3 linked regions of the Coturnix japonica genome follow. The main gene of each other region encodes a partner of the protein of the gene in region 2 in a complex. Links are inferred from orthologs where the notes say so. Each region holds a gene or a part of one and is shown on either strand. Other genes may lie near its edges. The genes, in order: FMNL2, CDC42 and ARHGAP1.

Evidence for each region.
Region 1: the proteins of CDC42 (region 2) and FMNL2 are in contact, whole or in part, in a crystal structure (PDB 4YC7), measured with the Homo sapiens proteins. The link is inferred for Coturnix japonica from reciprocal best matches to the Homo sapiens genes CDC42 and FMNL2. Residues at the interface, in NP_001034891.1 of Homo sapiens: Val36, Phe37, Asn39, Gln61, Glu62, Asp63, Tyr64, Asp65, Arg66, Leu67, Arg68, Pro69, Leu70, Pro73, Ser88, Glu91, Asn92, Lys94, Glu95, Lys96, Pro99, Glu100, Thr102, His103, His104, Pro106, Lys131, Asn132, Lys133; in NP_443137.2 of Homo sapiens: Ala41, Met42, Asn43, Leu44, Pro45, Lys48, Leu52, Tyr55, Lys59, Glu62, Leu63, Asp66, Gln67, Arg69, Phe70, Lys73, Tyr79, Arg108, Glu109, Ile112, Ser113, Leu114, Arg115, Thr116, Asn117, Ile119, Val122, Asp219, His222, Met226.
Region 3: the proteins of CDC42 (region 2) and ARHGAP1 are in contact, whole or in part, in a crystal structure (PDB 1GRN), measured with the Homo sapiens proteins. The link is inferred for Coturnix japonica from reciprocal best matches to the Homo sapiens genes CDC42 and ARHGAP1. Residues at the interface, in NP_001034891.1 of Homo sapiens: Asp11, Gly12, Ala13, Tyr32, Val33, Pro34, Val36, Phe37, Gly60, Gln61, Glu62, Asp63, Tyr64, Arg66, Leu67, Leu70, Ser88, Glu91, Asn92, Glu95, Lys96, Asn132; in NP_004299.1 of Homo sapiens: Glu278, Gly279, Phe281, Arg282, Arg283, Ser284, Ala285, Asn286, Thr287, Gln288, Asn309, Glu310, Val316, Lys319, Arg323, Asn385, Lys386, Met387, Asn391, Val394, Val395, Pro398, Asn399, Trp402, Ala403, Lys404, Ala406, Ala407, Thr409, Leu410.

What each region holds. Positions count from the first base shown.
Region 1 is NC_029522.1:30,438,955-30,442,700, forward strand, and holds the end of FMNL2 (formin-like protein 2), read right to left. Parts: intron 2,542-3,746; coding exon 2,432-2,541; 3' UTR 650-2,431; downstream 1-649. UniProt on the Homo sapiens protein: Plays a role in the regulation of cell morphology and cytoskeletal organization. Required in the cortical actin filament dynamics.
Region 2 is NC_029536.1:5,530,743-5,534,261, forward strand, and holds the start of CDC42 (cell division control protein 42 homolog), read right to left. Parts: upstream 2,801-3,519; 5' UTR 2,677-2,800; intron 1-2,676. UniProt on the Homo sapiens protein: Plasma membrane-associated small GTPase which cycles between an active GTP-bound and an inactive GDP-bound state. In active state binds to a variety of effector proteins to regulate cellular responses. Involved in epithelial cell polarization processes.
Region 3 is NC_029520.1:20,940,527-20,944,339, reverse strand, and holds the start of ARHGAP1 (rho GTPase-activating protein 1), read right to left. Parts: upstream 2,875-3,813; 5' UTR 2,772-2,874; exon of another isoform or gene 2,690-2,771; intron 2,663-2,689; exon of another isoform or gene 2,476-2,662; intron 1,261-2,475; exon of another isoform or gene 537-1,260; intron 1-536. UniProt on the Homo sapiens protein: GTPase activator for the Rho, Rac and Cdc42 proteins, converting them to the putatively inactive GDP-bound state. Cdc42 seems to be the preferred substrate.

The sequences.
Region 1 (3,746 bases), on a different chromosome or scaffold from region 2:
TACATTTCTATCAATGATTAAACCTTGTCTCCTGCTGTCTGCTGGTATTTATTTCTACTTCAACGCTGCGTGCGGCTCTGATCAGTTCCTGTGATTTCTGAGTTTAAGCCACCTCTACTTACAGTAAAACACTCCAAGTTCACCTTTAGCTTTTGGTTTCAGTGCATTCTGCCTGGCCGAGCAAACAAGCTCTGGAAAGGTGAACCTTTATGTTCACCTTTATGTTTGGGCTGTGGGGCTTTTTGTGGGCTTTTTTTTTCCACCTTATAACAGCTCTGGTACAAAAAATGGCAGAAGGATGGACAGACAGACAGCTGCAGGTGACAGCCCTGGTTCTGCTGTTTTGCTGAACCCTCCTGTCAGTGACACCTGGATCGCAGCTCGGATGGCGCTGCTCGCTGTACATTTAGGACTCTAATACTTTGCTGTTGGTTTTTTGCACATTTAGGGGGAACAACTCACCACTGCTGCTCTGCGCGGAGCTCTTCCTGCAGGACTGCTGGGGCACAGCCGTGTTCCTGCCCTGGGTGAGCTGCGCTGCAGCGTGGAGCCTCTCTCTGTCCATAGCAGTGCTGAGCAATGGGGCACGGCCCCAGCACAGGGGAAGAAAACGCTGTAAAAGTCACTTGGAAAAGAAGGAAAGGATGGATTACGGTGTAGTAGTGTAAATAGTTTATTTGCTCTTATGCCAGGAACAGACCAGGAAAGTAACATGAACTGCTTTTATAAAACACTTCTAATATTGCTAAGAAGCAGATCTATGACTAGAAAAAGATGAAAGAGAACATGCCAGCGTTGCACTGCAGTCCAACGATCGTTTCTGCCTTAGGTTTAAAAAAGAAAAATACCTTTGAGCACAGGAATGAGGCAGCAGAGCTCCCAGCCCGCCGACCACCGCCGACCACCACCGCCTGGCTGCCGATGAAGGGAGCGCTGTGTGGATGGGTGAGCGGAGGTCAATGCGGTGACTGAGCCCTCAGCTGCCCACTCGGTTAAATATAAAAACACAAACGATAAGTTAAGTCGACATTCGGATTGTATAGCACAGGCTGATGCTTTTTTGTTTGTTTGTTTGCTTTTTAAACAATATTTACAATATTACCCAGAGGCAAAAGTGGGAGTGAAAGGAGTGTAAAAACCATAAAAAACGGCACCGATTTTGTAGCAAAATATCTGTACATTTAAAAACAGATTATCATATAACTACACATTATCCAAGAAAAACGGGACCTTCACCAGTGGTTCACATAAGCACAACGTAAAAGAAAAGAAATTCAGTGGTTAAATACTATACAATAAATTTTACAATGAACGTATTGAGGCGGCGATGCCAGGAGGGGAAGCTGTGAGCACAACGAGCTCGGAAGCACAGACAGGGCTGCGGCCACACTCCTCCTTTGGGCCGGCTCCAGGCAGTGCTGCAGGCCATGCAGGGTGCACAGGGCGCCAATCCGGCCTGTTGGGAGCTTTGGGATGTGACTGCAAACCTCACAGGGCAGCTGATGAATGTGTGAGCCCTGGGACTGAATTGGAGCGCGATTGTCAAAGGGAGACGCAGCTGCATGGGGCACTAACGCGATCTCTGTGCTAGTATGGAGCTGTAATGGTCCTCGGAACCCTAGTGGTGATAACTGAGATGTTAATACCTTAGTGCTAATTAATAAATACACTGTTAGATGAAAGTTGCCTCTAGCTGAAGGGCAGGCGATGCGTTCTCTGCCATTCCCACGCTGTGCGATCACAATGTGCCGGTTCCCCCCGTGCCCCTCGTGCCTCAGCCCCACACTGCACACCACCAAACCCCGAGCCTTACAGCCAACAAAAGCTTCCCTGCCCACAGGTCTCCTCAGCACACAACTGCGTTACCACGTCCAGCTGTGGCGCACAGGGTCTGTATGGCGGAACAAGGTACGGAGCTCTTCTTGTCGCTATTTCCCTACTAGATACAGAAAGCCCTTAAGTGTTCTGTTTCTTTAACAAAAGAAAAGCCAGTAAGTGCAGCTGAAGCCAAGGTCAGCCCTCGGCCAAGGACAGGAATGCATGTAGAAGCCCAGCAGCAGAGCACATCCAGAGTTACCTCCTTCCAACCAGTGGGGATCCAGGTCCGGCCAACAGAAGACCGATCGCTAAGTTTTCACATAATCAAACCCAACTAAACACCCCAAAACAACACATACTTTACTTTTTGGTTAAAAATACTGAATAATGTATTGGTGTCAAAAGATACCCAATCAAATCAAGTCCTATTGCTTCGGTTAATTTGAGCAGGTACTTCCATTTTAGGCACTTGTTAGCTACGGCTGAGTGGAGAGCCCATCGCTGACGTTCCTATGCATTTCTAGGTGTCTGAGCCCTTTAGGGGGTAACCGTACTGTTCCCAAGGCGGGCAGGGAGGGCACCGCTGGCAGCCCGGCTCCGCAGAGGCCTCAGCTCACATGGTGATCTCGGTGCCATTGGCAGAGCGCAGGCTCTGGTCGTCGAAGCGCCGCCGCACGCTCCTCCTCAGCGCGTCGGCCCGGCGGTACGGCTGGTTTCGAAGATCTGCGGGGAGGAAAGCGGCGCTGGTCAGCAGGCACGGCTCAAACCACACGCGCAGCGCCGCAGGGATCGGGGCTGCTGGAAGCCAGTCAAAGCAGCTTGGGTAGCAACGGGAGGAGGGAGTGGGCCCCACCGCAACAGCGAGCTGATGGCCCTATGGCAACACACTGAGCAGCAGGCAGTGCTGGGGGCACTAACGGAGCCGTGCCACTGGGCTGGATGTTCGCCCTCCTATGGGCAGCTGGTATTCACTAACACTGTTTGTGTAGCCTCTAAATCCCAAAGGTGAGAGACACGGAACCAGGGAACAGGGTTGGAAGGGACCTTACAGATCACCCAGTTCCGCCCCGCGGCCTCAGGCACCCCTGGGGCTCTGGGCAGCAGTGCCACGGCCTCACCGCCCCGCACTGAACGAGTTCTCTGATGCAGGATGGAACCCAGTGAACGTGAAACACAGGACATGATGGGATAAGTGCTCACCAAAACAGGCATGCATCTACATGGCCCATCCACCCACTCAACTACCAGAAGGTGCCTTGAGAAAAAGCAGGCATCCCCCTGCACCCAGCCTGCAAGCCTGCAGCCACGGCTGCCACCCGAGGGGTGCAGGGCTGGGCTGCTACTGGGGCTGGGAGCGGGGAGGAGGGCAGTACTGAGCATGCGATGGAGAAAGCCAGCGGTGGGAGTTTAACAAAGCCCGTGTTAAGAGCGTGGTGAGGACAGGTGACTGCTTGGCTTCTTGTGCTACGGAGATGAGCTACACAGCACGCCTGGTGCGCCTGACACGTAACTTAAGCAGAATTTTTTTTTTCTGGGGAAAAATAAAATGGGTGCTTCGCTGGGGAAACCCTCCCATGTACTCCCTGGATGACTTACAGCTTGCTCTAAGCCCCACTGCCCGACTCCTCAGCTCTCAGCACAGCAGAAGCCACCCACGCTGCCCTGTGCTCTCAGCCTCCACTGTCCATCACTGGTTCCCCTCCCAGGGCTGCAGCACCACACACCCGCAGAGCACTGGGCAGCAGGAGCTGGGAGCTACAGCCAGGGATCTACGGGCAGAAACAACCTGGGACGAGGCTGCCTACCTCGGGCTCAACATGGAAGGGCCAAAATAGAGAGAGCAGGAAGGTGGTGACCAGCCAGCAGCTCAGCAACCCCCTGCCACACTGAGGTGGGAACCATTGGGCTGAACATCCGCTGCCTTCAGG
Region 2 (3,519 bases):
GTCTCTATCATTTTGAAGTAACTTGTTTTCTGGATGAGCTGCTATGAATTACCAAGGGAGAAGCTCAAGGTGTCACCTCAAAAAGCAGCTCTTAGACTGATATATGCTATGCTTAATGCAACTTAAGAACTGACAGCTACCACACTATTCAGCAGGGCTCGTCACAACAAGCTGATAAGTGCAGACATACACAAGATAGGAAGTGAATGCAGCTGAGTGGGAGAATTTTAGAAGTCTGAGCTTAAAGCACTGCCAACATAACACCTTTTAAGTCCTACTACTTAAAAGAAATGAAAGAGTCAACAGCCATTGCACAGCCCTACATTCAAAACAAGCCTGGTCAAGCAGAGCGTGACTCAGTGGGCACAGCACAGCAAGGTTCCCATCTGCTCACTGCTCGGACCTCAAAGGAACCACCTTCACATGGACTCAAAGAAGAAGGCAGAAGTCATCCCACATTAAACCCTGAGAAGCACGGCTGCTTATCCCAGCTCCCCTCCCTATAGCCAGACACATTTAGAAGCACTACAGCTGACACTGGCAGCAGCACAGTGAGCACTTTTGCATAAGGGCAGCCACCCTGTGCACATCAGCTGCAGCACCCAGTGCATGGCTCAGCTGCTGGTGCTCCATGCGTAGGAACTGCCCCAACACTGTCTGCAGGAAGCAGCGTGCTTATCTCAGGCCTATCAATATCACTGCTGATAAAGGGATTATACTTTGTTGGGAATGATGTTCCAGAAGAGATTTCTCATTGATGCTTTCCACTCCACATTAAAGGAACTTGGATCAGAACCCATGGACACATGCATTCCAGCATAACGGGGTGACAGGAGCCATGGTCAAAGCCTACAGTGCACTAAGTGTGTAAGCAGAGCTCCTGCTACATACTAGAAACCCATATCGCTTCCTTTTAATGCAACAGCACCTCCATATCTGTTGGTTTTTCATCAGAAACTGAGTATTAAGTGTGAGGATAATTACAACCCCTATATACCAACACTCCTGAATTGGAGTAGGTTGACATTCATCATCATGCCTATGGATGGAGCCAAAGCTGGGCTGGCCACAGCAAGCAAGGACTGAGGGGCTGCAGTGTGCAAGGCTGTAGGTGACTTAAAAGCTGCATCTAAAGACACTTCTGGTACTGCAAGCGTGTTTTATCCTGCAGCTTTTATTCCTCAGCAAGGCTTTAAAATGCTTTGCGTCCTTATTACTGCAGCATATAAGCAGTAAACAGACCGAACAAAGAGTCGTTTCACAACTAACAATATTAAACACATTAACATATTGATTCATTCATGCGTTACCTGCTTCGGATGAAGACTTGCCTACACTCCACCCCATCATCTCACTCATTTCCAAGCCAGAACAACACATTTTCCACATATAAACACCTGAATACAAAGCCTTTCTATCTAAACTTGTTCCTGTGCAACAGAGCCAAGCTCCAAGTGCTTTACTGACTTACTCCCATTAGAAACACTAGAAACTTAACCTGGGTTTTAATTATTCCTCTAAAAAAAGGCCATTTGGGGTGCTCCAATGGAACACTTTGAATAAAGCCAGCATCTCTTTCACAGGCTGCCCAGGGAGGTTGTGGATGCCCCGTCCTTGGAAGTGTTCAAGCCCAGGTTGGATGGAGCCCTGGGCAACCTGATCTATGGGGTCTCCTGGGCAACCTGATCTAGTAAATGTGTATGTTTGGTGGCCCTGCCAGGCAGGGGGGGTGGAACTACATGACCCTTGAGGTCCCTTCCAATCCAGGTCATTCTGTGATTCTGTGATTCTCTTTCTTTATGGTAGAAGTAATACAAACAGATGCAATCACAGACTGAACTACTTTGGCCTGCACGTCTATCACAGCCTCTCATCCAGGCCTTGCCTTCATGGTGCTCAGTCTATATGGTTAGATAGCAGTGCTGGCTCTGCAGCCTGCAGGCAGATGGGGCAGGTACCATCCTTATCTCCCCCAAGCACAGATTCCACACACACCTGGGCCACCACCACCATCAGCTTACAAGAAAAGCTACTATGAAAGGGGCCACACTATATTTCATCTCAGAGAGCTCAAAGATGGAAGAGAAATCCCCCCCCACATCAACCCTCCAAGCACAGCAGCCAACAACCAGCCATATACATCAACGGGACGGCGGATGACCCAGCACCTGGGCGAGACAAAAGCCGGGCAGCGCCTCCCAGCTCTTTATAGGGAGAAGGAGGAGAGGGAAGGGAAGGAAAGGAAACGTTCGGCGGTTCCTAAAGCAAAGCCCACACCCCAACTGCGCCTCGGAACTACTTCAGAGCTGGGCGGCGCTCCCGGAAGAAGCACAGGCCCAACCTGCGGCACCGACCTCCGGCTTCCCCTCCTCCCTTGCGGGGCTCACAACCCGCAGGGCCCAGCGCTCCGTGCCGGGCGGGGGGCAGGACGAGGAGGAGGCCGAGCTGGGCCGCGTAGGCCGCGCTCCCCCCCATACACACACACACACACACACACACCTCAGCCCCGCTCTGCGCCAACAGCCCCAACCCAGCGGCGGGGAGGCCCCACACACACACAGCCCGCACCCACACGGTCCCGGTTCTCCGCCCCCGCTGTGTGATGGCGGTACAGAGGCGCGGTGCAGCCCGCACACCCGCCCGCCGCTCCCGCCCCGCTCCGCCGCGGCCGCTCACCTCAGAGTCTCCGCCGGGCGTTGGCGGCTCGCTGCGGGGTCTCCTCGGCTTCAGGCGCAGGGGCACGCTGCGGGTGACGTCATCGCGTAGCGCTGGGAGGGGGGACGCTGCGGGTGACGTCATCGCGTATTGAACGAGAAGGCGGAGCGCGCTTCCGGTTTGCTCAGTCGAGGCCTGTGCGGCCGGTTGGGTCGGAGGGGCGATAAGGCCGCTATGTGGGTCACCAGCAGGGTTAGTTAGAGCCCAGGCCTCTCCCAGCCGCTGTTTGGTGCCTTGTTCCTAATGCAACTCCCACCCTATGGACCCAAAACTGCATTAGGGGCAGGCTAAGCCAAGAAGAGGCAGCCAATAGGCCAGAGGCACTTAGGGACCCCCCCCATAAGCTTTATCAGGGACCCCCCATAAGCTTTAATAGAGACCCCCCATAAGCTTTATCAGGGACCCCCCCCATAAGCTTTATTAGGGACCCCTCCATTAGCTTTATTAGAGACCCCTCCATAAGCTTTATCAGGGACCCCCCCATAAGCTTTAATAGAGACCCCGCCATAAGCTTTAATAGAGACCCCTCCATAAGCTTTAATAGAAACCCCTCCATAAGCTTTAATAGAGACCCCTCCATTAGCTTTAATAGAGGCCCTTCCATAAGCTTTGTGAGGGACCCCACACATAAGAAACCACAAGCAGAGGCAGCAGCCATCACCCCAATCCTTTGTACATCAGCTTACAGTTCTTAATGATGGGAAACAGATAAAACTGGGGCAGGAACACCTTCCTCCCAGAGAAGCATAAATCACAGGTCTCCGATGTTGCTGTAATTAGCACTACAGCCCATGCAGTAATTAA
Region 3 (3,813 bases), on a different chromosome or scaffold from region 2:
CAGGACAGACATGCTGACCTGGACTGCTCAAACAGACCTAAGTCAGCACCACCACATGGACAGTAATTCAACAGCCAGCAGGCAGCAAGCCAAGAGGAACTGTAGGAACACAAAATGATACCTTACATCAGCAAGACTCCCTGTAACAGTGCTGCTCCGACAGGCTTGTGCTTGTTTTGCCTTACGAGGGGAGCAAAGAGCTAACAGATGATCTGAGGAGGCACACTGACTTTGTGTGGAAAGAAGATAATTACAGTAAAGCCATTTCCTTTAGCAGAATGGAGGGGACAAGAATATATTGCATCTTCCATCCCTAGAGCTTGACTGTGTATCCATCCAAATTAAAAGATCAAGCCCTGAAGACATGACCTGCAAGAGCCCAAGCACTGGAAGGTGTCACAGCCATGTTCAGGGCAACACTCAAGACCACGCTAGGTGTATTTTGACATAAAAGGAAATGGAACAGTTACCATTTGTCCCTTCCCCCCAGACTACTCCAGAAGCTTACCTCCTGTCCTCCCTTATCTCTTACTCACCACTTTACAACCAGTTTTCGCTTCTCTCAGGCTCCCAGAGGGCAAGGGGCCTTGCTAAGCAAATGAAATTAGATTCCCGAAATATGAAAGAGCAAGATGCATCTGGGCAGTGGATGGTCAAGGCTGTACGGCAAACACACAGGGTCTGACCACTGCAGCCAAGCAGAGGCCCAAGCAAGGCCCTTCCCTGCCCTCCTGCAAGGACTGAGAGCTGCCTGACCTCTCTGCTCTCAGAAGAGCAGAGAGCAAGAAATCAGGTTCTTCTGAACCATGAGCTCATGCCAGAACCACGCAGCAGCAGGGCCAAATGACAAGCAACTCCCCACCCCTAGCAACTGCTCTGATTTCTATGGTAACGCGAGGCACTGATCCCTATGACTCAGTGAGCTGAAATCATTCCCACTGCAGCTCAGCAGCCCCACCGCCCAGCCCTGCACAAGGCATGATTAATGCAGCTCTCAAGCACTCCTCACTCCAGTGGGCAGAGGCCCTACCTACCTTCAGCTGCTGCCAGCCACTGACCCAGGGAGATGCCCTCTACACCAAGCTCTTGAGGATGCCCTGTATAACAGTGCCCCCTAAGCAGTCTTGATGCCCGTAAGGACCAAATCCAAACCATCCCAAAGAAAAGCGATAGTACTGCCACCAGGCCAGCAAGACACCAAGTTTCCCTCCTTCTCACTACAAGGACCACAACTTGGCTTCAGGGACAACTGGCAGCACACCACCAGTGCTATAAGTGTTGGCTATTTGACAGCACTGGCAGACTTCCCCTTTGGCACGCTCCTACAATTAGTGCTGGTGTGGCACCATGAGGCAGGAGGAGGTCACCGGGACTGTCTACAGTTCCACACCAGGCAGAGAACCCAGAGAAGACCTCTTAGATTTCAGGTTCTGCTTGTGAAGCCCCAGGGACCTTCAGAGGGCTTTCTACAGAACTTCCCCTGCCCTTTCCCACTGGTGCTAAAGACAGAAGCACACAGTCTCTCGCATCAGAGCGATTCAGAAAAACACAGCGTTCTATGTGTCCAGGAACTGATGGGCACTGAGAAGATCCGGAGGTGAGAGCTGAGAGGTAAGAAACTAAGCGTGGAACTGAAACCAGGACAGCCCTTCTGTTTAGATCCTCACAACTCCACATGCTTCGTTTTCTGACAGTGACTGCACGCGATTTTTTCCACCTCCTCAAAACGAGCCACAAGCTGGACCTGCCGCTGACTGGGACGGCCATCCTGCATTAGTATAAGGGCAAAACAGCTGTCAGACAACAGCACTTCACCAGACATAACACGGTCTAAGAACGTCACATTTAGCAGAGAAATAGCATGGCAAGACGCAAAGCATACACCCTGCACAGCCAATCAAAATACAAGCACAATGATGATCCCAGATTTAAAAAGTTAAAGGCCTACTTCAACATTTCCAAACAAAAGAACCACACTTGGCATTAGGAGCACTTCTCCAAAGAGCCAACTACTTCCATTCCTCCCAAGTGCTTTCTGCTCCTGTCCGGGCCGCTCTCAGCACTCGCTGAGCCACGTGCTTTGCTCTCCAGCCAAAGAAAAAGGCCATTTTTGCTATGAGAGCTGCGGTGCAGAACAGCACGTTGTGCAGGAGGGAAAGCTCAGCCCTGTACAACACAACCTTCACACCGCTTCTGAGCGGGACGCTGCTTACACACAACCCTGCTGCACTGCACTGGCACACCAGAAAGGAGCCCGGTACCCCCTAACAAAGCAACGTGCAACCAAAAAGCCGCCCCGCTCCGGTGCTGCCGTTATTTTTCTGCCCCTGCTGCCACCTGCAGCTCCCGCCGGTTTCACTTCAACAGCAGAAACGTTCTGTATTTCCGTACACACCAAACAATTCCTGCACCGCGCTACAGCCCGCACAGCAAACACCGCCCAGTAATGAAAACACGAGGGATAACAACTCTTACAAGGTACGGCCCACGGGAGGGCTCCTCTCCGCACTGCACAGCAGCAGTCACTCAGTCACAGACCTCAGGCTCTCCCGACTCCACAACACAAAGCCCCGAGGCCGATTCTCTCCGTGCACCCGGCCATGCAAGCAGCCCGTTCCAGGCTCCCGAGCGGGGCCACTTCCCGCCCAGCCGTCCGGCTCCTCCCCTTCCCCAGCAGCCCGGCCCGCACCGTACGTGCCCGCTGACACCCGGCCTGCAGGCCCCGCTGCTCCGAGCACAGCCGTGTCGCCACCCCCCTCCGCCTCCGGTACCTGCGGCCTCCTCCCGCCCGGCCCCTCCGGCATCCGCCTCCCGCCGGAAGCGCTGCCCGTCGCCGGGGAAACACCGCCCCGCCCTCCGCGGTTCTCCGGTGCCTTCCGCCCTGTGGCCCGGAGCTGGAGGCGGCTGAGCCCCCGCTGGTACGTGCCTGCGGCCTCGGCGAGCCGCCCGCTGCAGGACCGAGCCCTCCACGGGCGGTAGAAATCCTGCCCAGCTGCCCTCTGCGGTGAGGGGAGACTTTGCCCACCTTCTGTCGTTAAATAAATGAAGTCATAGAGTGATGGTTTTCCTGCGGAGCCCTGGGATGGCTGGGTAGTGGCCTCTTTCCCCGAGGTTTGTGCTCTGACCCAGCAACAGCCGGTTAATTCACCCAGCGTGATTCTGTGTTTGTGCAGGCGATTCCTACTTCTTCAGGATGCGGCCCGACAAAACCAGAGTCCTTGACGTCCCCTGTTGAAGCCCAGAGGCTGCTGCCAAATGCTTCCATAGGCTGCCAGGAGAGGAAAGCACTTCTCCCGTACATGAGCCGTGGCAAGCCAAAGTGCCAGGGACTGAGAATGAGCACCTCAAGGCCATCTCAAACATCAAAGCCAGCAGCAGGTGCAGGGAAGAAATGGACAAGGGTGTGGGTTGTGGATCCACAGCAGAAAATTAGAGATGGGGCAAAAAGAGGCACATTCAGGAGACCTGGATCTGTCCTTTTCCTCATGTTGGGTTCATCTCGGTGTTTGCATGGGCATGTGGGCCAGTGATGCCAGAACAGCTGGGCAGGAAGCCCAGCAACGCAGTCCTGAAGAACAATTGTAGTTACTTGCAGGAAAGAAAGCAACATTTCCAAAGTGTCTACATTGGCATCTGAGAACATTAAAAGTTGCTTTCATTTCTTACACTACTAGTAGCATACTACAGTGAGCACAGTGAATTTTCACTGTCCCCAGCTGAGGAGTTCCTTACCTGCCCAGGTAAGGATTTACAGTTCACTTCAGTACGCTCAGAAGATTTTTGCCTCTCTCTTCCTTTCTCCCGATCTTTTTT